Drosophila melanogaster: one gene and its partner. The protein of the gene in region 2 interacts with the protein of the main gene of each other region in a pairwise test. Each region holds a gene or a part of one and is shown on either strand. Other genes may lie near its edges.

Region 1 (3,756 bases), on a different chromosome or scaffold from region 2:
CTTTTCGGCCAGCTAATCTGTTGGCTGGAATATCGGTGTGGCTGGGGCCAAAGTGCCAGGCAGGTACAGGTCTCCTGCCTAAAATTATGCAATGCCCGGGCTTTAAAGTAGATTACACGAAATTTGCACACGAAGGCACAGAAGCCCACGACGGGCATTAATCACGAAAGAAACTCCTGCCCCGTGACCAGTGTGCCCCATTCTCGAAATCCTCGAAATCCTCCTATTGTGTGTGTTTTTTAAATAGTTGGACCACGCCCACTGGCGGATGAGGGGGTGGGGGGGTGGGGCATTGGGGTTAAAAGGGGGTTAGAGGAGCTGGAGGCAACAGCAGCAAATAAATTGCCAACGTGCCGGAATGCAACGAAAACCCTTTGGGTTTGTTAGATTTTTCCATATTGCTTCCTTTGGCTCCAGCAGTTCCATTAGACTCCTGAAACTGGTTATGCAATCCGCTCTCCCACGAGCAAAGAAAATAATAGAACAACAGCACACACACACACACACACACACACAAAGCCGGAAAATTAGCATAATTTTTCAATTGTCCTTTGGGCACGTGGCGCAGGCCTTAAATATTTTACTTTGCGCACTATTTTCAAGAATATTTCATCGAACTCGTACAATGAGCTTTTGCCAAAAAATAATTATTTTTTCCCATTAACAGCATACCATATCGCATTTCTTGCCGTCGTCCTTAATATTTCCTGTGCTTCAGATATTTTTTTTTTTATTTATATATATATTTTTTTTATGTCCGCCCCACAAGCCCGATTTTTCCGTGTGCCCACGGCGTTTTTCGCTTTTCCCACTCGCCAAATATTTTTCTTGAGCTCAAAGTGAAATGGCATAAATCATGTTCAATATTATTTCGCTTTTTACCCGCTCCGTTTTCGTTATCCGGTTCGTATTGCGGTGGCCCTCGGGTTAAATGATTTCATTTTGCGGCGAGATGACAACCCTGGCCGGAGCTGAAAAGCAGCACTTGTTGCCCTGTTGATTTGATTTTATTGCCCAGCAAGAAAAGTATTGAATGCGAACAAAATGGGTAAGGTGGAAAGGTGGCCGACGTCGCGGCGAGATCAGGTTAGGCAAACATCCTTTTGGCAAAAGTGGGCGGTAAATGTCCTGGCCTGGCAAGAAAATTGCTTTTGCGGTCGGTTCTCGAGGCTTCGCTCGTAATTACCAAAAATGCCGCAGGGCAACTCCCGGCTTCCTTCTTCCTGTTCCTGGCACTTGGCACTTGGCACTTGGCATTACCAAATTACCAAATTACCAAATAGCTGGCATCTAAGTAATACAACTAATTTGTGTTAAAATTCCATTAGCTGGCCGAGAAATATGCTCAGCAGGAGTGATTGGCTTTCGGGCGGGCATGGAATGGCCAAAATCAATCACCGAATCCCATCACGCACAGTGATGATTAGTCGAAAAATTTAGCTAGCCCTGCGGCAACCCTGCTAATCCTGCGACGTTAAATCGATTTGGAGAATGAGGAGAATGAAATGTCCACATCAGCGATTTTGCATATTTGTTGCAAGGATCGCGTACTAAACAATCTCTATACCCGATTTAGTATTTATTTTATTTATTTTTTGTTTATAAATAATTAAATCCGAACATTGTTAGCCAAACCCAGGCATGCCATGCTTTTAATGTCAGTTTTTGGATGACAGTCGGTTTTTGGTGATCGGACATTGTTTCAGTCAGTTTGCACAACCAGACTGAGAAGAACACTACTTTTAAAATTGTGTAGAATTCTTACAAGTTTTGTATATATATATATTTTACTGCACTCGTTTGTGAAACGGTAAGTGAAATGGCGTGCATAATCGAATTCCGCAATGCCTCGCGGCGTGTGCTTTTCAAAACCGGATATTAATTGTGCGCACTCTTAAGAAAATAATTGGAAATGAAATTTTGTGCGTTCTACGCGTTAATAATTTACTTCTTTTATTTTGTGTTTTTATTTTTTTTTCGATTGCCGCTAAAGAAAATATGGGGCACATCGATGGCACAAATAAACTGAAAGGCTTCGCTCGTCCCGCATTCACCAGCGAACTGGCCTTCAATAGCGTGGTGCCATGGAGCAATGAGATCCATCGACGCCACGGTGAGGCCATCCATCCGTGCAACGATGCGATGGACTTCCATGCGTCGGTGTTTAGAAGTCTGGGTGCCGTGACGCGTGTGTGCATTGGCACATCAACATTTTGGTGTACTTCGTCACTTTTGCAATTTCATAGCAACTATTTTGATCGCAACATTTGTCCGGTAAATAAGAGAACACATTTCATCGATATCGTTTATCGATGATATTGTTAATTGCGCGATTTGTATATGTCGATAACTTAGCACTGTACTCTGTACCTTAGGTGAATTGCTTTCGCGAGGGCACCGACCTTATTGCCGTGGGCTTTCGAGCTGCCTACACTTGGATGAGACTGCAGGAGCCACTGGATCCATTCATGCAACCAGATAAACTAATGACGCTCCTGCACACAGCCGTCCAGCTGGAGATGCCGGCACTGAAAGCATTGTGCTATGAACAACTGTGCACCGATCGCTTTCGCGAGGAGACCGCCTTTCAGGTTTACTTGAGGGCTTTGAAATATCCGCAACTCGAGGAGCTGCGCAAACTGATGCTGCAAAGGATCGGTGCTGCTTTTCTGGCCGTGCTGGGTGGTGATGATTTTCAGCGAATGCCTCTCGAGGATGTGATTACCATGCTGCAGCAGGACTCATTGGGTGTCAATTCGGAAATGGAGGTGCTTGTGGCCATTATAAGATGGCTGAATTGTCAATCGAAATGCATTGACCAGGCGACGCCACTATTGATGGACTGCCTTCGGCTGACACTCTTACCACTGCCAATTTTGAAAAGATTTTGGCGCTGTGCCATGGCACCACCGGTGCCCGACGAGCCCTTTATGAACGCTGTTCGTGGCAATATTCACATTCGTGAGAGGATCAGCTGTGCAATTACTGTGGTCCAAATGCACCATTTGCATACAAGTCGTCGTGAGTTTCTCGACTTCTGTCGCTCCAAGGGCTTGCTGGTCGATATGCCCAGGGAGTGGATATACGATGAGCAGTGCCATTATCATTTGCCGCGACCTGGTGGTCCCTACTCTCATCTTATCTGTGTTCATGTCATTTCGAATTATGCGATACAAAGGGCTCAGCGTCTAATGGAATCCTCAAAGCGTTGGCCCAGACGTGTTAATACATACATGCCGCCGTCCGATGATCTACAGACCATCAATGAGCTGCCCGAGGACAAGGATGAGGAGGCGCAGGTGTCAGTAGAGCCATCAGCGCCAGAAATGTCCGAAGGTCTACCGCAGCCCGAAGAGGATGATTGTTTCATTGCTCGCCTCTTTCGTGGCACACTATTGCGACTGAACGAAGTGATGGCCGCGCAGGACAGAAATATTGAGCGACGCATTGACAATCTTATACGTGATGGTACATTAAGGCCCAGGTTTATACCCAACGCTATGTCGAGATTTGTATTGCCAACAGCAATGACTTGTGCTGCACAGGAAGATCTTCAAGAAGATCTCTTTCTCCAAACCGATTTCTATTCGAGCAACCTGGACGCCATCGATGCGTATTTTTTTCTTCATGTCTGTCGAATGAGGCAGTTGGTCCAGCCGAAAGTTGTAGTTCCTATCGAGAAATCGTCCGAGGAGAGTGTGCGTCCCATGGAGAGCTATGTGCTCGAAACCGACCAAATGATCAAAGTCCTAGGCT
Region 2 (3,756 bases):
ATGCAGAAGTGCTGTTTTATTTTCAATATACAGCTTGGGCACAGTTGCACCATTGTACCATGCGAGAAGTAACGGTCGCGAAGAAGAAGGCAAATAATAAAAAGCTGCAGCCGCAAGTTGCGCAGCCTGCAACAGCTCCGGCAACATAACGGTACTCGTTCGCTCGCTCTCTCTTTCTCCTGGCTCGGCACTTAACCGATGTACCCTACATTTGGCTTCGCAAAACATAAACAAGGAAATGCAGCCGTGAACACGAAACGAATTGCGGTAGGTTCTCCGTTCGGCAAAGAGCGAGCTCCAAAAGAGGCGAAGAGAGCCGGGGCTCGTAAGCCGGCCGCATTGCTGTTGTTGGAGCTGAGAGAGCCAGCACGGCACCCAAACAAACACTTAAGCAACAACAACAACGGCTGCTGACTGAAGGGAAGGTGCCAGAGGGGCTTTAAACCCAAGAGCGCAAGCTAGAAAGAGCATCAGAGAGAGAGAGAGCAAGGCAGGAGCGTAGGACGAGCTCAACTTGACATCATCATCATTTGTGTCAAAAGACCATTGAACTTTGCGAGCGGATGGAACAGAACAGCTCCACCCCCATCCCGCTGCCTACAAGTATGCAACAATACCTCGCTCTCCTTATTTATATGCGGTTTGTTTTGTTGCTGCTTGCACACCATCACAATAACAGCAACCCACATGCATGCACTCACTTTGCATAGGTGTTGGGGCCCAATGCATCTCAAAATGTTGCGCTTTTAACCCTTACCTAACTGATCAGACATGTAAGGCCCTTTCATGAAAATGTCCTGTGTTTGGGAAATCGGGAAAATCCCCACGATGTAGTTATAAATGACATACTATAGATTTGTGTACAATAAGTGGCTGTGTTAAATCTTCTTTAGCGAATAGGTTTTTATGTAATTCATTCTTGTTGCCTTACCTTACTTGTGATGGATAATGGTCGTGTTCCATTGATGTTCAATAATATAACGCCCATTGCAGGATTCCTGAATAGGGTTCAGATATGGGTTCCTGGCACTACGGCCTTGAGCTGAAGATGAATGTTCTTGCCTCTGCGGATGTGCATATAAAATTCGGTTAATTTAATTATTTAAATGAATAATTGATTTTCAGCTTACTGGTGCTTCCCACTGCGACTGATTCTGACGTGAGCCGCCAGAGTTCCAGCTTTGGTTGTCATAAAAGCCCCTAGATTGGTTGGGATAAAGCCAAGATAGCGGTGGTTGTGGTAGATCCCCTTTATTGGGCTTCCTGTTGTTGTTCCACGCTAAGGAAGGCTGCTTGATCTTGTTGCCGTGCTTCTCCTCGATGTTCGGGGACACATTCTCGCATTTAACTTGAACCTTGTACCACGAGGCGTCTGTATGCTTACGTTTGATGGTCATATCCTCCTCGCTGGTGGAGTCATACACGTGGCCCTTGATGGGTCTCTTTCTCTGACAATTGTTGACTTTCTCTGGCTCTGGTCCTCCTGTTAATACCCCTGGAATTTGCGGATGTGCCTTACGTCGTTGGCGCTGATATTGCCTTCTCTTGTTGCGAGTGTACCTGGGGATCTCACCCACAAAATCGCTTTGATTTTGCATTCCTTATGATGAAGTTGTAAACGATGAATTCGAAGAATCGACACCACGCTGTCGAAAGCACAGCAAGTAACACGTTGAGTTGCTAACACTGACAGACTACTTTGGCGACTTACCAGCACTGATCGATTAATCATGCAAAAAGTTTTTCTCGTATTGATCGAAACTTCCTTTCGTCATGAGCATTATCAAGATAAGAAATCGTTTTAATTGCATTCGGCTTCAAGTGTTCCCCTAAGGAACAGGAGTTAAGAATTTCCAGCTTTTGTTTGAAACAGATGGACATGAATTTATAACCTTGCCTGGTCACACTGAATTTTTAAAGCATCTCCTTCCGTTATTACAACCATCCATAGTGTTAAAAAAAAGCAAGACACAAAAGGCAGTTATGTAAATGTTACAATTTTTGATGTTTTATTCGTTCGATTTATCAACTACTGTTACGGTAATTGCATATTAAATTGGTTGTTGTTCTGTTGTTGCTTAAACTTTAATAAGTGTACTTGGTTTTAGCTGCGGCTGAATTTAATTATATTTGTACAAAATATATATTTACTTTTAGCTTTGTCAATGAACAACATGTTTTGCATTCATTTTGGTTTTCTACTCGCTTTCCACGTTCCAAAGTCCAGCTTAAAACTTAATTCTGTTGGTTTTGCTGTTCGATCTGTCGGTTCGGTTTTGTTTTTGTTTTTGTTTGGTTTTCTTTTGTTTCGTTTCACTACAATAACGCTTAACAAAATAGAATTATTAACTATTACTAGGCGCGTTTCGTTTGTTTTTGTTGTTGTTGTGGTTGTTGTTGTTGTTCTTGTCGGTTGCTTATTGCTGCACGTTAATCTTGTCACTTCGAAAAAATTTAACTATGATTTCTACGTTGTTTAGTTTAATTCATCGTGTATATATATAAAAATATATATATATTATATATCTTTATATATACCAATATATAGTTATTTATAGTTAGGCATGTAATTATGCTTACTTTAATTATATGCATGTTTGTGTCCGTGTCTTCCCGCCTACGTAATTGTATTATTTACATCGTTTTAATAATTAACAATACATATGTATGCATGTGTACCAATTTATAATAATTACACTTATGTAGTTGCACTGCACAATAAAGTTGCGCAAATTCTCCATCGGCATTCGGCACTCGTCATTTTAGTGATAACTTAAAATTTGTCTACAATTTAAATGTTTGTTTTCGGTTTCATTTGTCGAATGCGAGCGAATGCCTTGTTTCCCCAGAACCATTACTAATATTAATTTAATATTCTTTCTTACTTTGTTTTGCTTTCCGTTTTGTTTTTCGTTACATTTTTGCTTTGATTTTCGTAGTTTCGATTTCGTACATGCCAAAATAAAAGTCAACAAGAAAATGCTGGCTGCTCAACTCGGTCAATATATGAATGTATTCCAGAATCCTACCATCCTACCATCGTACCATCCTATCCCAATCCCCACTCATTTTCAAATTCTGCTGATTGAAGTTGGCTTAAAGTAGTTTACAGCGCTCACTTTTTGGCATTTAAAAATATATTTCTTGTATACTGGCGGCTATATGTACAGCTTATATAACTATTTCGAGGGCAAGTCTATTTCGATTGATTTTTAACTCGTTTAAGTCTACTAATGCACTATTAGTTGTTGCGTCTGTGTGAGAGTTTTGAGGCACCCATTATGAATTTATGAATTATGTTGGGAATAGACTGTGGATGAGGTGGTTTTATGGATGGGTTGAAAGAAATAAAACCAAAAGAGAAATACAATTGCGTGTATATATTTGAAATATATATTAATATAAATATATATTGTTTTCATTCATGTATTTTGTTCTAAAAACGTGTTGTGATTGCTTTTTAAAAATTAATTTAAAATTAATAAAATAGTTGCGTTAAACATAATTCATATAGAAATATTATAAAGAATTTATAACTATAACTTTTCTTTATATATGCCATAATATGTATAATTATATTTGCTAACATTTTTCTTTACCAAGGCTGCAAAGTAAAATTAACTAAAACTTAAACAATTTAAAAAGCCGTTCATCTTCCTTACTGTACGCATACGAAAACAAAATTCAACTAAAATGTTTATGTTTTTGGGTAACAGGAAAAGGGGGTAGGGTGGGCGGGGGGGGGGGGGGGTGGGC

What was found. Proteins that work in one complex are often made in the same cells at the same time.
Region 1: the proteins of Rbp9 (region 2) and CG12692 interact in a two-hybrid assay, tested with the Drosophila melanogaster proteins (one large-scale study listed by BioGRID).

The regions. Positions count from the first base shown.
Region 1 is NC_004354.4:4,300,319-4,304,074, reverse strand, and holds the start of CG12692 (uncharacterized protein), read left to right. Parts: upstream 1-1,728; 5' UTR 1,729-1,810; intron 1,811-1,993; 5' UTR 1,994-1,998; coding exon 1,999-2,274; intron 2,275-2,375; coding exon 2,376-3,756.
Region 2 is NT_033779.5:2,952,688-2,956,443, reverse strand, and holds the start of Rbp9 (RNA-binding protein 9), read right to left. Parts: upstream 1,683-3,756; 5' UTR 1,131-1,682; intron 1,065-1,130; 5' UTR 937-1,064; intron 1-936.